4 linked regions of the Drosophila melanogaster genome follow. The protein of the gene in region 3 interacts with the protein of the main gene of each other region in a pairwise test. Each region holds a gene or a part of one and is shown on either strand. Other genes may lie near its edges.

The links.
Region 1: the proteins of CG30324 (region 3) and Cchl interact in a two-hybrid assay, tested with the Drosophila melanogaster proteins (one large-scale study listed by BioGRID).
Region 2: the proteins of CG30324 (region 3) and Fer2 interact in a two-hybrid assay, tested with the Drosophila melanogaster proteins (one large-scale study listed by BioGRID).
Region 4: the proteins of CG30324 (region 3) and dar1 interact in a two-hybrid assay, tested with the Drosophila melanogaster proteins (one large-scale study listed by BioGRID).

The regions. Positions count from the first base shown.
Region 1 is NT_033777.3:22,024,915-22,029,966, reverse strand, and holds Cchl (cytochrome c heme lyase), read left to right. Parts: upstream 1-2,486; 5' UTR 2,487-2,807; intron 2,808-2,900; 5' UTR 2,901-2,929; coding exon 2,930-3,519; intron 3,520-3,576; coding exon 3,577-3,832; 3' UTR 3,833-3,992; downstream 3,993-5,052. Other genes in the region: CG13409 (uncharacterized protein), read left to right, coding at 1-261; ND-42 (NADH dehydrogenase (ubiquinone) 42 kDa subunit), read right to left, coding at 656-751, 819-1,946; CG6028 (uncharacterized protein), read left to right, coding at 4,563-4,827, 4,914-5,041.
Region 2 is NT_033777.3:16,147,964-16,153,223, forward strand, and holds Fer2 (48 related 2), read right to left. Parts: upstream 3,350-5,260; 5' UTR 3,258-3,349; coding exon 3,211-3,257; intron 2,845-3,210; coding exon 2,651-2,844; intron 2,588-2,650; coding exon 2,317-2,587; intron 2,220-2,316; coding exon 2,008-2,219; intron 1,953-2,007; coding exon 1,825-1,952; 3' UTR 1,406-1,824; downstream 1-1,405. Other genes in the region: CG5916 (uncharacterized protein), read left to right, coding at 1-411, 472-803.
Region 3 is NT_033778.4:16,287,086-16,291,364, forward strand, and holds CG30324 (uncharacterized protein), read right to left. Parts: upstream 1,149-4,279; 5' UTR 1,056-1,148; coding exon 561-1,055; 3' UTR 501-560; downstream 1-500. Other genes in the region: CG9068 (uncharacterized protein), read left to right, coding at 1-365; CG30099 (uncharacterized protein), read right to left, coding at 1,186-1,839; JhI-26 (juvenile hormone-inducible protein 26), read left to right, coding at 2,287-2,523, 2,867-3,666, 3,843-4,125.
Region 4 is NT_037436.4:3,624,232-3,630,245, reverse strand, and holds the start of dar1 (dendritic arbor reduction 1), read right to left. Parts: upstream 3,895-6,014; 5' UTR 3,165-3,894; coding exon 3,102-3,164; intron 1-3,101. UniProt on the Drosophila melanogaster protein: Transcriptional regulator which promotes dendrite growth by suppressing, either directly or indirectly, the expression of the microtubule-severing protein spas.

The sequences.
Region 1 (5,052 bases), on a different chromosome or scaffold from region 3:
CTTAACACCACCTATCGCAGTTCGGCGCAGTTTATGTGCTTCTACGGACTGCTTAACTTTTACCTGTACACCATGGCGTATGTGTACTCGCCAGATGGACGGTTCGCCCAGGCGGAGCTGGCTGTCACCAAGGATAATCCGGCTATTTCCATGATCGACGATTCCGACGAGGATGTTGTCTACGGTTCCGACGAGGAGTCACGGCGACCGCTCACCTCTGTGGGCGGCGGTGCTGGAAAGAACGATTACGACAGCGATTGATCGGCGATTAAGAAGTATCCGCGGCAGAACGAATACCCAAATGTTCCATAGCGCAATTGAAGTTTTAGTGCTAAATGTGTACAAAGTATTCCCTAATATAATGCATAAATTAACTTAAAATTTCAAAAAATTAATCTCTGGTTGATCAATGAAACTGGAGAGGATCGAAATATGTTTGGGTATTCATGATTAAGCTGAATTCGAAATTTATGTTAAAAAAAAAGTATAAATAAACCCAATAGTTCGAGTTTTGTTGTATGAAAAGTATTTACAATCGATATTTACCATATTCGCTTTTTAACTAATTGGGTTCTGATTATTTTACTAGACTGTTTATTAGATAATTAACACATTTCGCCAGGTGATTTCAACTCGAAAGCATAGCAAAAACCCTCTAGATGCCCTGGTTGATGCCTATTTTCGTCTTGGTGAGGAGACCCTCGTCGCCCATGTCTGCATTGTAGCCAGGACGGTACTTCATGCCGGGAGCCTGTGTGCAAAGGGGCAGAATTAATGTGAAAAGAAATCGAACAGGGAAATGGAAACACCGAACTTACATTGAACCAGACATCACGCCAGACTTTGCCGTCGTCAGCGCTGCGCACCAGCTCCGGGACATCGAAACGCGGCACATTGAAGTAATTCATCAGATCGGGCTTCTCATGGCAGTACTTGATACGGGCTTCGCACCACTCGGCCTCCAGCGGGAAACGCCAGTCGAGCATCTTCTTGTTGTGAATATCGGCCTCAAACTGGTTGAAGTCGATGCGTTCGATATCCTCCACCACAACCTCAGTCTCACCGCCGGCTGTCCAGTCGTAGATGAGCAGCTCGGCATGGGTGGAGATGTCCTTGAGGTACTGCTGCTTGTACAGCTGCTCCAAATCGCTCAAGTAGGCATCGCTGAACACCTTTGACTGCACCTCGTAGTCCACATTGCGTGCCTTGATCTGCTTCTTCACGGCATCGACCGGCAGATCCAAGTAGATAACCAAATGCGGCTTCAGCAGCTCCCCGATGGTGTTCTGTCGGAGCTCATTATACACGGAACGCGCACCGCGTGACAGATAACCCTGCCGAAACATGGCCTCCATGAAGACAAAGTCCGAGTAGGGGCTGCGCTCGAGGACAACACCCTGGCCGGTGCTAAGGACGTGCTGCAGGGCATCAATGTACTGCGAATAGCGCAGCATGTACATGCGAATCTGGAACTGGGCAGCCAGATCGTGGCTGGGATCCAGGCAGAAGTTGCGCACATCGTAGCTTCGGCAGCTGGGCGGCAACTGAGGATCCAACTTCCTCATGTCATAGCCGTACGAATTGATGTAGATTAGGTCCAGATCAACTGCCGGATAGTACTCCATGTCCAGCTCCTCAGCCAGTTCCTTGGCGAACTTTGACTTGCCGGCCGCGATGGGTCCCTCCACACAGATCACCTTGGAGTTCTCGTCAAAACGCTTGGAGGTCTTGTCGAAAATAGCATTGAACACGCTGTACTTCTTCGTCTTGTACGGATAGGGGGCGGCCTTGGGCACCCGTGGTCCACCTCGCATCGTCTTGCCGGAGATGCTGCATCGCTGCTGGAAGGCAGCAGGCAGGGCATTCGTCTGCGCCTGGAGTAGATTGGGCGACTGTGTGGCGCGGCTGACGAGCCGCACCAGTCCTACGCGGAACACGGCGGTCATTCTGAAGGGAAAACAAGGGTCAGTACAAAAACGAAACAAGATAATAACAATTATATCTCGTCCAGTGGCAATTTGTCGTGTGGTTACATCACAGGAGCTACGCAGGTAGTGCGGTAATCTCTGCCCTAGAACTGCAGATATGCGGATCTTTTCGTTGCATTCTGCTGGCCAGCATTGCGGCGCTCCATAGATTTACCCAAATTGTCGGTTTTAATGCTCTATCCGGTGGTATTTACTCACTTTTCAATCTAAATATCGGAAGTCTACCCAAAAACAAATTTCGGGCTATGGTTGGTGTTGGAAAACTCCCCGAATAGGGCTGTCAAGGTATCCGTTCAAATATCAAAAATGTAAAATCAAAATGTTTGTCTATGCTTTAACTGCGACTTTTCTCAGAATCAGAAAGAATTTCATATGAAATGAAATTTAACCCAGTATTTTAAAAACTTTATATAACACTTACAAAATAACATTTTAATGTATAAATGTATTTGTTTTACTTTTTAAAAATATCGCAAAGCGACTGCTCAACACTACACAGCACAGCTGGGGTGTTTAACTACAAGTTAATTTACTTGAAATAAATTCAACAATGCTTTTCATTTGTAGACAGACACACACCATAAACTCACATTGCCGTGCGGTGCGAGTTGATTTTTTAAATTTTTAACTTAACATATTGTCACGGTGCAGAAACAACTGGTCCACTTTCCGTTGGTCTGGCAGCCCTGACCACAACCTCGCTGCATTTTGGGCTCAAAAGTTCTAACGATGAACTAACGAAAATATAAATCAAAATTTAAGGCGAAAGGCTCCAGGAGAAGATCGACAAATATCGAGAGTTGTGACCATTAGGATCGAGTAAGTCCTGGCGTTGGGGCCCAGCACTGGGAGTGTAACCCACTCCTTACAGTTACGCAACTGAGAACTAATGCGATTTTCCTCGTGACACAGATTTTGTTATTAACCAATCCCCAGCAGAAATGGGCAATACAGCCATCACCCGAGTGCAAATGGAGGCCACGAAGAGTGTGCCGGTGGACCACGCCAAGTACATGAGCGGCAGTGGTGCCCCGCCACCAGAATGCCCCATGCATCAGAAGCATGGAGATGCAAAATCGGCCTCCGCCGTACCCCCACATCCCAAGATGCAGGCCGCTTCCGAATGTCCGGTGCAGCACGACAACAGCGACGTTAATCCGCTGAATATGATGCCACCGGCAAACCAACAGCCGGCGGCAGATCAGCCCTTTCCACTGCCCACCGACCGCCAGACGTCGACCATTCCCAAAGTCACCGAGGATGGCAGCGTTCAATTCTGGCAGTATCCCAGCCAACAGATGTTCTGGAACGCCATGCTACGCAAGGGCTGGCGCTGGAAGACCGAGGACGTATCGCAAAAGGACATGGGCGACATCATACGCATCCACAATGCCAACAACGAGCAGGCCTGGCAGGAGGTACTTAAGTGGGAGGCGCTTCACGCCAAGGAATGCGGCAATCCGCGCCTCAAGAGTTTCGGTGGCAAGGCCAAGGACTTCAGTCCGCGCGCTCGATTCCGCAGCTGGCTGGGGTGAGTATACTCCAGACGGAAGATCTCACCTGAATTAATGTTCGAATTGTCTTACAGATACGAGCTGCCATTCGATAGGCATGACTGGATAGTCGATCGCTGCGGCAAGGATGTGCGCTACGTCATCGACTACTACGACGGTGGACTGGTGGACAAAGACTACCGCTTTGCCCTGCTGGATGTGCGCCCAGCCATGGACTCCGTGGACAACGTTTGGGACAGAATGCGCGTAGCTTACATGCGCTGGAAGTACGAGCTGTTTGAGAAGTTTGGCAGCGCGGATGGCGGCAAAGTGACCGCTGGTAGCGACTAGATGGAATGCATATTTAGATGATCGCTATAGGTACAAAATCGGCTTAAGTTATCGAATGGATGGAAGAGGGAGTTTGGTTAAATGCGTTTAAGACGCTGCGAAGCGAAACGATGTTGAGCCCTCTCTTTAAATAAATGTTGAATCTTGACTTCTGAACACCAAAATTCGAATGTGGTTTTGCTTTTTATTTTATTCTTTACTTAAATCCTTTTAAGGATTTCGAATTATCCAGTAACGAGTTGATAGCATTGTGGAGGAATATATTAATTAAAGTTTTTTTTTATTGATATACTTATGTATATGCAGAATTCTCATCTGTTCAAAATGCCTGTAAAAATTTTTTTTCTTAATCTTTAGTTTTATATTTTATTTATATGCTCTTTAAAATGATTGCGAAATTATAAAAATACGTTTACTACTTTTTTATCATTACTACAAATTTAAAAAATGTATAGTAAATAGAATATAACTTTAGACGTTTCTTAACTTTTTTAACATACATTTTCTGATAAAAAGTTGATATGCAACCCATAACATTATATGTATGTTTATATGTATGATGCTTTTCTAACACCTGCGGCTTCAGGGGGTTAATGTCTGGCAGTGTTGAAAAGCGCGTGTAAATTCTTTAACTGATTGCTGGTGCCCTCATTACGTGAGATTCGAGTTTGGCCACTGGAGCGTTAATTGGATAGCCGCGATAGATTCGTTCGACGTAAATCAGTCATAAATGCAAGCTGCCAGAATGAGGTTCGTTCAATACCTGCGAAAAGGTGACTTGGCCAAGCGACTTGGTCTACTGTCCGAGGATCAAAAGTCGCTGGTGGAATTTGCCGGCTTGGAGGGTGTGCCCAGCGATCTAAAGATCCTGATTGCCCAGGATCCCAATCTGGAGGAACTGGCGAAGAAGGCCGAAAAGCAGCCGCGACTCGAGGTGAATGATGATGTCACTTTGCTGCCGCCTCTTACCGATCCCGGCAAGATCATCTGCATTGGTAAAGAATGAATTAACATACATATGTATAAACATATGTAGTTGGACCCTGACCTTCAAAATGACGTATTCTCGATCTGCTTGCAGGTCTGAACTACCAGGACCACTGCGATGAGCAGAACAAGCCGACCCCCAAGGAACCATTGTTCTTTAGCAAGTTTAACAATGCCCTGGTGGGTCCTCAAGATAATGTCATCGCTCATGCGGCCAGCAGCGTAAGTGAAGC
Region 2 (5,260 bases), on a different chromosome or scaffold from region 3:
CTGGAGCTGCCGCCGCCCAGCGTCGCTCGCCGGATCTCTTTCGCAACCTTCTGCGCACCGAGCCCTTCGACAAAGAAATCAGCGATTCCATATCAATCGATCTACCTCGTACCTTCCCCGACAATATTCACTTCGATATGAAGAAGCAGCGGTTGTACAACATTCTCATCGCCTACGCCCATCACAATCGGGACGTGGGTTACTGCCAAGGTCTTAACTACATAGCCGGCCTCCTGTTGATCGTCACCGACGATGAGGAGAAGTCCTTTTGGCTGCTCAAGCATATCGTTGAAAACATCGTGCCGCAATACCATTCCCATAATATGGCCAATCTGCTGAGGGATCTGGCCGTGTTCCGCGAATTGGTCATCCGGCGAATTCCCGCTGTAAATCGGCATGTGGATAACTTGGGTAAGATTTAGTTTAAAGAACTAAGTCCGTAACCAGTTGCTAACATATTTTTTATTCCAGGCCTGCCCTATCCGGTGATCGCCAGCAAATGGTTCATCTGCATCTTTGCCGAGGTGCTGCCCGTGGAGACTGTGCTACGTATATGGGACTGTGTCTTTGCCGAGGGCTACAAGATCGTTTTTCGTGCCGCCCTAACCATGTTCGTCACTCACAAGAACGCCATTCTGGGCTGTGATGATATTGCTGCCCTGGCCAATCTATTCCGGGATACCATGATCCAGGACAACATTGTGACGGACTGTCATGGCTTTGTTGAGGCCATGTTCAGTCTGCGTTTGAAGAGAAGCGAGCTAGAGAGCCTACGCAAGGTGGCCGTGCTTAATCCGGCCTAAGGAGCCAGTGTGGAAAGGGCTCTATGACCAATAGATCAAACAACAGCAACAAAACCAAAAACAAATTGGAGAAGCAATCGAAAATTCAATTATTAGGAGCGTAGTTCAGCCGTGTCATTGTGTTTATGTTCATTATTGTGAGTGTGCATTATGTAATCGTTTCTATTTAGTACATACTTATGTGCGCGCATTTGTATTACCATTGTAGCCAAGGTCAACACAATTTGAGTATTAGCCAACGAAATCTGGTCGAGTTATCAAAGCGAAATTTGAAATTTAACAGAGTTGAACAGATTAGTTTAAGCGCATATGTACCTACGTACGTATGCCGTAGGAGTAGTAGCCAAAAGTTTCTAGTTGATATCTTCCGCATGTAGTCCAAATAGAGCAAGTACATAAATATTATACAAATTACATACATGCCTAACCATCGGCAGCGCATTTAGCCCTCCTTTTACCCAACAACAAACATTTTGTGTTCTAAGTTATCTTGTTGATCAAAGAAGTATTTATTTTCGAGTATGTGTACTTTGATAGGGAGCTATGTTAATGTCTACGTCTAGTTAAAACATGTATTTACTTTTATATATATAAATGCTTTTAAAGTTGTTACATAGTTGACTAACTGTAAAACGTCTGTTAGCTGCAACTGGTTTGTCGGTTTGTCAGATCGGTTGCCCAATACTCAATACTATTTACAAAAGATTTATCCTGAAATATAATTTGAGGAATTGATTTGTAAATGCATTATCCTGCGAGCCTTTGAAACCAATAACTATTTATTAAACACAGTAGTGGGCTTCAATGGCAGATGGGTCTTGTATTTCGTGCAGCCGAGACGCTTTTCAAATAAAATACTATTGCTAACTGTTAGTAACTGTAGAAATATGTCCAGCCTTAAACTATTTTGGGATATCAAAACCTAAAGGGAAGACTTTGTAATCTTTGGGGAAGATCAGAAGCTTAAGTGGTAAGTGCTTTCAGCAGTTGATAGGCTAAGCCTCAAATATATAGAGCGAATCTACGGCATTCCGCAATGAGCTCCGCACATGGGTTCCGAGGAGAGAGCCAACGAGGTAAGCAGGGTTCGCCTACCAGGATGTACTCCGAGGTTCTCCCAGTTGATCCACGACAGACGAGCTGTGAGATCTGCGAAGCGAACCATTTATTGACCATTGATATTCCGACCAAATTCTCTACTCACCACTCGTATTCCAATTAGCCCTATCCGCTTTGATCTCTCCGCGCAGACACTTCTCCACATAGGTTAGGGGATCGTAGTCGGTTTGTAGTACCTCACGGAGCAGAGATATATAGGCGATGGCAAGCCGCAGAGTGTCGATCTTGCTCAGACGTTTCTCGTACGGAAAGGTGGGTACATGGACCCTTAGCTCATCGAAAGCCGAATTGATGCTACTGCAAAGCGCAAAAATACAAAAAAAAAAGGAAAGCTTGTTAGTTATAATTTCTGGTTAAGAGATCGTGGGATAGTAAGTTGTAAAATGGAAAAGACCATTTGGTGTACCCAGTTGGGGCGGACCTCTGGATGCGTTTCCTTTCCCGCACATTGGCCGCCTGTCGCTGCATTTTGTAGCTGGACGCAGTTGCAGCTCCCACGGATCCATATCCAGGATTGGGACCACCTGCACCGCCAGGAGTAGCAGATCCTGCGTTGCCGCACCCTCCTCCACTGCTGCTGGCACTGGGGCTGTTGCACATTAAGGGTGCTCCTCCCCCGGAATTGTGCACCCCCATTGGATTGGTAGAGGAGTCGAGCAGATTTTCTGAGGGATTTCAGAAAGATATTCAAGGTGTCTTGACGTAAATATATTTATTCTCCGTCATACCTCCGCTATGTTGCATATAATGCTGCTGGATGTGACGCAGGTTGTTGGAGCTCAGACGCAGCCCAGAACTGCCACCGCCACCTCCCGATCCACCACCTCCACCGGTGGCGCCTCCGCCTTGATGCTGACCCGCATAAATGCAGGAGGGCAAATCGTTAATCAGATCATCGTCGAAATTGTGGAAGGGTAAATGGCTGTTAAAGGTAAGAATTGAACATTTGATGATTAGGACTGTATTGTAAAGTCTAAAGTAATTAATTTTGTATCCGTGTATTTAATCAAATCGAGATACCGACGGCACTGACGAAAGTCAGTTCAGATTCTGGGCGCGACTCCACTTCTGCGCGCATACTTATGTAAATAAATAGATTTATTTTTTATTAAATAAAACTGTATATATGAGCAATTATTCAGTTATTTGATTAAATAAATATGCATACGTTTTTCGTTTATGTCGTACATTAAAACATTTTCGAATTTTATCATTATAATCAGAGAATAATTTACGTATTTATTATAGTATATTTATTATTTTATATATATTTATATAACATCCGTACCTAATGGGCGGTGAAGACGACGAATCCGGCAATTGATTTCGCGACATTTTCTTATCAAATGTGTTATTTTTTCACTAAACAATATTAATCCAATTAAAATCTAGAACGACTATTAACTTTTCCGACACTTTTACGCACTTCCGCTGTCCAATAAGTTAAAAACTTTAGTGAGTCCATCTCCCGGGAATTGCGAGCCTTTTATAGTGCCGCAGATCCAATTGGAAATGCCACAACTCTGGCCAGGACCTTTCCACCCCTAAACGTCCTTGCAGCCAGTTACCGTGAGCCGTCTACGAGATGGGCGGAGCTTGCCAAGTACAGGGTGTTTGCCCCTGCAAATGGAGCGGATGCTGTGGGAAATTCGTTGGACTTATTCGCCTCTGGCTACCCTTCAATTGCTGGGCGTAGATCTGGATTTCAAGTTAATTATGGTAGTTGATTTGCCCGTCTACTTAGAAATCAGAATGACTTTGATATTTGTTCAGAAACATGTTTTATACAAGCCATCCTTATTAAATTTTTTGGCTTAAAGTTATTTTAAGAAAAGTTAATAAGTAATTTTATTGTGTTTTAAAATATATATCCCGATTTATTTATAATTTTCCTTAATGCACAAAATTGGTTCGTTGATTGTAGGACAGCTTAAAGTCTCGCTAGCCGAAACAATACCATTGCAGCCACTCCCCTTTAAGATCCAGCTCCATTCGCTTTGTGCTTCCTTCACCTGTTTTTGACATTCTGCCATTATATTTCGCACAGCAGGAAGTCGCCATGTTTGAGTCCACCGCTTTGATGATGGGGGAGGACGAGTGGAGCTTTCTGGAGGCGGGGGACCCGTCTAACCTAACCCCAGATAACCCTCCCGCTTCCCCTTTTAAAATCAGTTTTTACAACCATATGGGGAAAGGGATATACGATGAAATCTGCTGGTAATCGGAGTACAAAATAGGGGCCCATGGACCTGTTGATTTGACTCGACTAAAGTTCGATTCCCACGGGACGAGGACACAAAGCAGAGTCAGGGCAATTAGATCTAAGGCAGATAGCTGGTCGCTACATTTCACGGCTCATTTAACCTAACCAGAACAAGAAACAGGATCAGGATCAGAATCGGGATCTGGAACCACTCGAAGCCGCAGTCTTTGTCAGCAGTCGTCACGGGGCAATTGTTGAAATTGAATTATGTTTATTTGATGTTTTGGTTTGCTCGCAAATTAGCTACGTCAGAGAATCCCCGCCCAGTCGGGCGACCTGGTCGCGTGCCCTAACCCGAGGCGCGAAAATCCCGAGCAGACCGATCCGCAGAACAAAGGGACTGGCAATATGTCAGGGATGCGGATGCGCAAACCTTTTCATTACCAGACAAATTTGCTTGTCGCACGCGTCGGCGCACACTTCGTACACCCCTCGCACCCAGAACTCCGGGCTCTGATGACAGTAATCAGTTTTGATGGAGGGTAAGTGCCCGAATCCTGTGCAGAATTCGAGTTCAGACCGATTGAGCTGGAGATAGAATTGTGGTGCCGCGAACAAAGCTGACATCCTTAAGTGAAATCTTGTTACCAACCAATGTAAACACGATTGTTAATTTAACTTTTGCAATTGCCGCAGGAAAGCCGCCCTTTAGACCGGTACTTCCCCTAATCCTAACCCTAACCCATAACCCACTGAGGTGGACTTGTCATCGCACCACAATTAAATTATCGCATTTCAAACGAGTGCACCCAAGGAAGTGTAAATCACGAACTGTGGGAAAACCAAAAATAAATAGATTGAATATCCTAAACCCATTTGATTTGCATATAAGAGTATTACTTGAAATGTTCCTTAGGTCTAAGCCGTATGGAACATGCCAATTTAACTGAGGGTTATAAACGTAAGTTAGGGTTAAGGTCATTTGAATGGGAATGTTGTGGGAATATAATATTATATGCTTGCGTATTTTGACCTATGCGCTTAGACTGGACTTAGAACTTTAACTATCTGCCAAAATAAGTTCTTAATATAGCAATACAAAACTAATCACTTAAACTTGGTGATTTACAATCAG
Region 3 (4,279 bases):
TGCGACGCAACGAGCGTAATGTGATGAAGGTTCCTCGTACCATCCGTGAAACGGTGGCTGCCAAACAGCTCTTTGAAAAACTCCTGAAGGATGTGCCAGTGAAGCAGTCCGCATTTACTCCGATGCTGGAACTCTTCGTTCTGCTGCACAAATACCAGGTGAAGCTTAGCGAGGAAACATTTGAGCAGGTTATGGGATTGGAAACGGCTTGGCTGCATTACCTTCAGGTGCTGGAGGAAGCGGATGAGATGCTGGACAATGAGGACAGTGAGGCCAAGTTGCTATTGGCCAAGCACGGCGAAAAGTTCAAGTTGATATTAAAGGATTTCCTGGAGGATTTCTATTCCAAATTACCCAAGAAATAGGAGTATCATAACTATTATCATAAGTGATAATCAATTTATTTACATTAAATTTAATTTGCACACCTACTAGCTGAGTAATGGGTATGTGATAGTCGGGGAAATTAACTATAGTGATTTATTGAAAAACATGCAAATACTTCTCACATTCCGAACTTTTATTAAACTCTTTTTTCCCCAATTGAGTCCTGCCCAGGATTACAAGTCATAGCAGAGCGATTTATTGGTACAGGGACAACCATCGATGCCGTAACGCCCAATCGGAATGTCCGTCTGGGTCTCCTTGTGCTGCGGTCCTGGCAACTCGTAGAATTTCTTACCAAAGTATCGATCCGGGAGATAGTACGATGGATACTCCGCCCTCAGCCTCTCGTGATCCTCCCGCAGAAATTTTGCCAGTTCGGGAGTAGCCCGTCGAGCTTCCAGGCGATACTGCTTCGGCTTGGCCATTCGGATTGGAACTTCCAGGTGGAGCTTCGAGTGCGGTATGTAGGACAGCAGCTCCTGGTCGAGTTTCACTGCCTGCTCTGCACGAATTTGTGCGCAAGTGGCACACTTGCATTTTCCACCATGGTAGCAGTACCGCTTTCGTCCATCCTCGTCCACCATCAGCAGTGGGGTGCAGATGGGCGACGGAACCGGTTGTGCCTCCGTCTGCGTGGCAACCGACTCCTGGGCGGGATCGGAAAACATTGTGGAAAGAGTGGGGTTCAAATCGGAAAGGTACGAACGATTTGGATTGCAGAATGAAACTAAATATCGGAGAAAAACAGATGTATTATCAGCAAACTCCTTGGCAACTAGATATCAAAAATTACAAATTTTAAATTAAACATTTTATATTGTGCAGCTTGATTAAAGTTTCCAAGTGGCTGGAGACACCTCTGCTGCATCCACAACTAAGTGCAGAGTGAGGATATGCAGCGGAGGAGTTCCACAGCCAGGTGAGATCCCCATGCCGATCACAATCTTTTATCCTCAATCGTTTATCCCCCGTGCAGTAAATGTTTTTGCTGAGATCCTTCTTATCCCGCTTCACAAAACCACAATCCGGACACACATGGGACATCGCTGGATTTCTTTGTGCAGCCTTCATCTGAAGATAGTAATCCTTGAGCTTTCGCTGACGCACTTCCTCGAAGAACTCGCGCATTTGTGGCGAATCCCGAACAGTGGGCTCCTCGATGGGCTTCCTACTCGCTTGCATTGGACAGACGACATCGTCGTGTTGAGCATTCTTCGACATTTTCAACTGATCGTGTCGGCCGCTCGTTATTTTGCCTTTTCGCGAAGAAGAGGACATATATGACATGTTATCCAAATCCGTGATCCTGATCGAAGCACTTGTCCTCTTTGGCACTTTGGATGGCATGCTGATATCTCGACTTTGCTGCGATCCATTCGTGAACTTTCGAACGTAGGTGTTGGCCCTGGTCATTGACCCGGTCGTTTTGAGTAAATACCAGTTGAGGCCCATTGGTAGTTGGTCGATAGTCGAACTGCAACGGTAGGATAGCTTTTTCTAAAACTGGAAATTTTGACTAAAAATATATCGATACCTGTGATTATGGAAAATAGAACTTAATCCAAAGGAATCATTAAACTTTGCACACAATAAACAAAAAAAAAAAACTAATTAAAACTAATAAATAGCGTATCCCCCTATCTTTGCGTCATGATATCTTATCATATCATTTTAACATGCCAAATTGCATCATGCTAATCATTAGGTAGGTACTGCTTCTCTATAAACCATAAAGTGCTTTTAATGATTAGAAAGCTTTTCATTTCCAATTCGCTCTTATCGTGTAATCTCTAACAACGAATGAGCTTTTGGAGAGTAGTACAAAATGAGCTATATGAAATGGTTTATGCTCATTCGCTATCCACAAGCGAAGCGGTTGGGATCGTCAGTACCGACGAAATGGAGAAGATCGAGGCTGAGAGGCAATGGCTGAGATACACGGTTCTTCCGTCAATTCTGAGGAACGGGCGCCTGGTGGACAACTACAGCGAGTCCAAGGTGACCACATTCCATGTGGGGGACATCGACATTGATGTAATTGGCCACTCGGAGGCCTTTATGCTAACTTTTTGCTACCGGACAACCATTAATTTTGAATACGACGGGCAAAAGTTTCAGCGAAAAATGGTGGTTAAGGTAGGTTTATTCCATTCACATAGTATAAATAAATCTTAAACAATCTATCTGGATATCTAAAAACACAACGAAAAGATTTACTATACTCGCGGAATTTAAATTATATTATATAAGTGCCTTAACTGCGTACTACTTACCAGTTTTGTTTTCCAGCAAACTCAGATAGCTTAGTGAGAGTGTGGGTTTTATGGCAAACATTGTGAAATAGAGGGAGGCATCTCAACAAAAGAACAAAGCGAATTGATTTTGAATTCAAAATAAATCACATCTAATGATGAAGTTTACTTTGGCATGCAATGACCCCAGAATACCAATAATTAATTGTTTTTTTTTTTTTTTGTAGAAAACACCTGCTATGCCACCAGAAATGTATGAATCCATACAGTTTGGGCCCCTTTTTACCAACGAGATAAATTTCTATACGGAAATTCTGCCAGAGTTTCAGAAGTTCACCGATGGCAAGTTTGCCGCACCCAAGTACTATTACGGCGAGTTGAACCAGCATTCGGCTGTGGCCATTCTGGAGAATTTCGCGGAGCAGGGATGGCGGGTCACCAAGGATCGTGTGGGTCTGAGTCTGCAGCACGCCATGATTGCCGTGAGTTACCTGGGAAGGTTCCATGGCTTTGCGTACGCCATGAAGCACAAGAACCCGGAAAAGTTTGCCCAGCTGACTGACAATCTGAAGGAATCTCGCTATGCCAACGATAACATTCATCCGGAATGGAAGCTCACCATGAAAACGAGCATCGATCGAGCGGCCAAGGCGGTGGCCACCTATCAGCCACAGATCGACGAGGAGTTTGTTAAGAAGTTCTGTTTCATGATCTCGGACTATTCGCAATACGGTAGGCAACGGGTGGCGCCCAGGGAGCCACTGGCCACCCTGTGCCACGGCGATTATGTGAGGAATAATGTGGCGTACAGGTACGATGACAAGGAGGAGCCGCAGGAGATCATGATGTTCGACTACCAGACATTGCGAGTCTCCTCTCCCATGGTCGATCTCAACGTCTTTCTAGCCGTGTCCATTTTTGCCGAGGTACGCGATCCAAACTTCGAGGCCATCTTCTGTGAATACACCTTGGCGCTTCATAATAGCTATAGGGAGCACGCCAAGGAGGAGGTTCCGGATTTCCTAAGGTGAGTTGTTATTATTATTCATTATTCATAAGCTTTTAAAATTTCAAACAAGCGATATGAATGCAAATCAAAAATCTAAAAATACTCATTAGGTGCTCGATGTGATAAGATAAGATAATCCTGTAAAGCTTTTTACTGCCAAGAAATAATATAATACTAATTACGCTATTTCTTAGTCGCGGTGAGCTTCTGAAGGAGTACGTGCGTTTCCTGCCGTACAGCTTATCCATATCGGCCAGTTTCCTCATGAGTTTGGTGGATCCCTTGGACATCTCGCCCGAGGAGATGTTCGCCTTGCAACTGTCTGACGAGGAAATCATCGAACGGACCATGAATCGAGGTGGAGAAGTTGTGGACAGGGAGGTTGCTCACCAGGTTAAGGAAATGCTGGAGCTGAGCCAGGCGACAGGGGTGTCCATTGATGACGGCATTGATCTTGACAAGTTGCCCAAGGAGTAATCAATTGATAGCCTAATGTAAAAGTATTCAGGCATTTCAGGTATAGCGTAACTGTAGATAATAAAATAGATGTTAAAGTGACATGCATTACCTATTTAGAGTTTAATACACTGTTTAACCGTGACTAGGAATTTTTAACAGTGGTGGGGGAATC
Region 4 (6,014 bases), on a different chromosome or scaffold from region 3:
GGCTATCCAGAAAACCGCAAATTCTATGTGCACCCAGTGGCTTGTGAGTGATTGATTCTCGCGGCACGATTGACCTCCAACTTGGCCAGGCGGCAAATCAATCAAAACTGGCTGCAAATGAATGATATTTTTTTCCCGACTTTTTTGTGCCATTTTTGGCGCATTTGTGTGCTAGTTTTCGTTTTCATTTGCATGAATTGGCGAAATCAAAATATGGCAAAGACTAGACACTAAAAACTTGGCATTGTTATGGTGGAAACAGAAATTACTGGCGAGATTTGCATAGGAATCGATCGATTGATGGGCGATCTCCCACTGGGCCTTAATGAGATTTTGGCCAACTGTTTTCATGGCTTACTCCAGTTATTATTTAACTGCCATTGTCTGGACGGTGTGTAATTGGCAATCGGTGTTTTGTTCGGGGGCTCGATCCAATCTTGAACTCATTTCGAAATGGAAAGTCTACTAGGGATATCATTATCTTATCGGGCCATTATTCGGCTGTTTTCTATCTAATTTGCCACGATTTTTTATGGCTCAGATGAGCAGACGGCAAGGCAATTGCCGTAATTCTTGTTAAATTTCAGCACCGATTTTGATTCTTTGAAGGCGGCCGCCTTTGTCTGATTCCGATTCGCAAATGCAAATATTTCCTATTGATTCAGATAGGCTATAAACTCATATACGTTTCATTTGGTATATTTGTAAATGTCTTTTATTGACAAATCACTGGAGCGACTGCAAGTTTCGTTTAGTCTTAAATAATTTGCATAATTCTTCGGCCCGTTTAGTTTAAACACCCCCCCCCCCCCTTTTTTTTTTCAAAAGCTCAAACTTAGAGTTATCTGATTTTTATCTATATTTAATTATTTACGATTGAAGCACAATGGTTCAGGGTCATTAATCAGAGCCGCAAAAGTCGGCGCTATAACCGCCTGGCTACGTGCTGGATTACTTCCATTATTCACTGAATGTATTCGATACGCAGATACTCGGATACTTGGATACTTCTATACTCAGTGCAGCTAATTCCCTGTAAGCGATCGTAAACTAATTTCGTTTAGAGCCATAAAATACGAAAGTTTTTCGTCATAATCGCCGTGAGTCGTGGGAATTACCTTACCATATCTCATCATATCTGTTAAATCAGTGGAAAACGGAAGAAGTCCACCCCCTCACCCAAAAGCTTACACTATCTGGAGGAAGTGGATGGGGCTTCCAGGGGGCCAAAGGGGGCCAACAGCGCTTTGTACTTTTGCGACTGTGTGTAAATATTTGACAACACATGCCTAATTAGTGCAGCTATTGATGGTGACAGGCGGAACAAGCACAACACACTTGTCGAACACCCAGCTCTTTTACGATGCCTTTTTACCCGGAATCGCCAATGTCTCGGGTTTCTTCGTCTGTACCTATGTATGTATATCTGTTTCGCTGAGGTTCCCGGAGTTCGATCCTTATCTCTGGGGGAAGGAAGTGTTCTGAGGAGGGCAGCTGGAGGCACTTAACACAGAGCTTTTGTTGAGCAAGGCTAGACTTTCTGCGGGAAACTGAACTTATCAATGGGCGTAAGGCTGGTAGACCAACGGTTGTAAAATGTTGAGATAAGGCAATAAGACAGGGAATGATAGGAAAATTTAGGAAGATAGCCTACACATCATAAAATTTATAAGAAAGATAATCAAGGCTCAAGATTATTGGTAATAAAAAAGTACGTATACTTTGAAAAATTAATTCATGGTAAATGAGTATGGCCTAAAAACTTAACCTATACTCGATAACTTTAATAACCACAATCTGTGCGATCAGTTTCACTCTAAAGTATTTATTGACATTCAGCAATAAACAGGATAAACAGTTCCTCGGAAAGACATATTACTCATACGTATGTACCCTTGCCGTTTGTAATTATGTTCTCATACTATCCAATACCATCGATCAATGCCACCCAGTCGATGATCAGGCTATAGCTATATGTATATATTCCCGGGTAGGAACCGTGTTGAAACCATCTCGTCAGTCAGTTGGGGACACTTGGCACATTGGCAAAGTGTTGGGGGCAAATATTTACCCAGAGCTTCGCAAGTAAGCGCGAGTCAAACAATTGAGGCAAACAAGCCGGGAAAACAGAAAAACAGGCTGCAAACATGGATATCGAAAGGAGGAGTGCGGATCGGATCGCATCGGATGGACTGTGATCGCCACAGTTTCCCTGCGGAACGCGTGAAAAGTGTGGATGAGTTCAAAAGAGTTAACCGACCGTGTATTTGAGAACGGCTTTAAGAGCCGAGAGTTCCTGCAGGTGATAACAAGATTTACAAATCGATTGTCGCATTTGACAAACAAAAAAAAACAAAAATGGGGAAAAAACGGCGAAGGAACCGAAGGAACACCTGAGGAAATCCAAGGTGTTAATCTCTGTCGAAACACACTCGAGAACACTCAAAAATTACGCAGTCCAACTCCTCATCTCAATCGATAATTGAGCTAATTTGTTTTCGGTTTTATTGTAATTTGTGATTGCCGCGTGCGTTTTATTTATACTCGTACTCGAATTCGTACAAAAATCGTCAAAAATCTGGTCTGTTCAAGATTTGCATTTTGATAAGCGGAAGTTGTTGGGCTTAAGGTGTTTTTCATGTGATTTGTAAGCTCTCGTATTTGTTGTGTGCTCGCTTATTGTTGTCAAATTTGGCTAAAATTAATTTGCAATAAAAGCGGCTTAATTAGCGCACTTTGGTACGTAAAGTTTTTTTTGTTTCATTTGAATTGGGTTTGACAAGGAACCTGTGATTGCAAATTAATTGGCTAATGATTACGATATTTAAACGCTTTGTGATGTGTTCATCCTTGTTTAAAGACACACATATTCTTTCTATAATAGTTGGATATATTTCCATTTGAATGTTGATCAAGCTAGGGAATTTTATTTAAGTGATTGATATTTGAAATTTCGACACTGCCTTTTATTTGATAGAAAATATCTATCTGCTATTTGGATTTTATTTATTACAAAAGATCAAGTTTTCTAGATCTTTTCGCTGGAATTTCCAGAATGTCTTAAGTAGCCTTTAATTAAATATTCTAGTAACCGAACTCACCTGCATCACCCAGTAGTTATTGTTGGCGGCAAACTGATCACCAATTATGATATCCGTATGCATTTAAGCGGCGTTTTTCGCATGAAGCTCCTTCACTCGACTGTTGGCCAGGTGGAATGCCTGGCGGGGGAGGGGATGCCACCGATTCTACCGATATTCTACCAATATTTAACCCGACAATTTGCAACTGGGCTCCGTACTTTTGTGTTTGCGGACAATTAAATGGCGCTGCTCTGACTCACGAGTCACGATCAGTTCAAGGCACAGTGATTAATCAATTTCGGATGCGAATTCAAAATCGTATTCGGAATCGAATTTCGGGATTATTATTGAATACTTCAGCTTGACATGGCACTGCGAGCAACAGACATTGCGGCACGTTTTCTTATTATTCAATTGCTTTTTGTTATTTGTTGTTAAATTAATTTAATTTGCAAGGATATGCAAATGAAGGCACTCGATCACTTTCTCTCACTCTTTTGTTTCCCTTTGTTTGCACACTGATTTTTTGTATCCTTTGCGTTAATTGCACAAAATTAATAAAAGCCGGCGGCTTTCGCTCACTTCCGCATTCGATGATGAGCTTCGGCTTGTATCTTATTTGTATCTGTATCTCTTGTTCCTCTCGATATGCTGTATATATGGGCAGTAAATTCGTTGCAATATTCTACAGATAATGGTAAGGCACTTGCGGGTTTCAATTTATAACTTATTTTCTGTGTTGCTTGAGTGGATATTTAGGCGATTCACGCGCTCGTCGGCGAAGTTGTTACTGCGCTGGCGGGAACCGAGTTCGTACTGATTGGACGAGCGCGGGTTTCGCGCAGACGAGCCTCGAAAGTCAGAAAGCCAGTCAGCTAGCTGCCGCTTAACCCCCGCCGCTTAACCCTCCACTGCCCGCTCTGTGCCGCTCTCGCTCACCTTTCGTATCTGTATCTGTCGGATACTCTGCTCACCAGGTGTTCCGCTCACCTGGTCCGCTCTCCGCCACTTTCGGCCCAGGTGATCTGTCGCTCTTATATCCGACTCTCAGGTGTGTTCCAGCCAGCTGATCTTATTGGAGACACTGGAGTATAAGAGCTGCGATCGATTTTAATTGAATGAACCGCCTGGGATTCGCCATTTTAGATTTGACCTGCGGTAGAGGTGGTAATGGGTGAAAAAGTAAGTAACCACGCTTCAGAAAAGATCTCGAAATAGGGCAAGGAGGTTAGAAATTAAAGTTTATAAGTCCCTTATGGAGTATTCAGTAACAAATAAATAAAAATTATTAATTTTAGAGTAATAATTTTATTATAATCCGATCAATTAGAATATCATTTAAATTTACAAAACTTTACAATTAAATGTTTATATAAATAAAATCTACATATATGGCTTCGATTTGATTTAATTGATTTCCGTAAAGAACTTTTATACGACAGAGTGTTTTTTAAGGACCTCGTTCTTTTTTTATAAGTTTTATAACTTAAGGTATAAAATTGGTAGCCTTTAAGGAGTAATAAATCAAAAACATACAAAGCATAATCCCCGAACAGAACCTCCCCCATTAAAACCGCTTTACTACACCGTTCATTAAGTTTGACACATTTTAGATAGAGCCTAAACAAAATAAAAACTGTCCAGCTAACACGCGAATCTTTCATAGACCTCATGCAGTTTTAGATGGTAAAAAAAAAACATAATTAAATAGAATTAAAGCATAAATTAAGTCAGCTTATGTGCTTTCTTTGGGGGAAATCAATAGAGCGACAATTAAAAGGTATCTGTATCTACATATTCCAGGTGGAAAGCAAAAGAAGAACGAGGACTGTCATTTCCCTGTGTAATTCCCTGAATCATAAAATTACCCCAACGCACGCCACACATAAAAGCCATTTTCATTTCGACTCATCCCCCTGGTTTCCTTATTTTTGGCCATTAGGGAGCCACAAGTTTATGTTTTCCGCGCGCGGGGGGGTAAAATGGTTGGTGCAGGGGGGCCAAAAGTATCTGAAATAACACGCAAACGTGGTTTTCTAAGGGGGTTTTTAGAGGTGTGGCCTCTCCGGATAGCGGCGCAGACTCAAAAGTCAGCCAATCGGCGGTCGACAAAAAGAGCGAGAAACACGAGATACAAGATACAACGAGTGAGCGGGACGGGGCATGCGGTTAGAAAGAGAGAGCGAGACACTTTTGCGTACACGGTGGCAGTAAGTGGAAAAAACAACAACAACGCTACACGCAGGTGGAAAAACAAAAACATCAACATACATGGTCAGATACGAAAGTATCTACACTCGCAGATACATTCGTCCATATTCGACGCCACCGATAATTGACTGTAGTATTCCCCGGCTTTCGCTATTGACTTCGTGCAAATTTGCCATTAATGCCACCGCAGACGTCTGCAGATACAAGCCGAGATACTCAGATACATTCGAATTTGTTTGTCTTCGCGCTTTTGTTTGCTCTCGAGCTGCTTGTCTTACGTTTGGCATCCGTGAGATATGCCAAAGACACATTTCCAAGCCCGTACTTGACTCCGTTCGCCGGTTGACAAATGCCAGCCAATTTATAACGCTTTTGGCCTAGAATGAAGCGGTTGAGTACGAAGATATGCGCGCTCTGGGGATTTAAATATGCATATTATGATTAAGGGGCTTTAGAATATCTATGGCACTGTAAATTAAATTATTAATTGAAGGGTACAACGAAAATGCGTGTTTTTCAGTTATTATGTTATAACTAAGTCAAAATAAGACACATCGCTATAAGAAGCACTGTTTTTTACACCCGACAACCTAAGAAGAAAACCCAAATCACTTTTTAAGAGTTTTTGAAAAAAAAAAAATTTACCCATTTTTCGACTTTTTTGTAAGGGGTACCATCATCAAAATTTTCGAAAATGGTCAAAAAAATTTTTTTTACACA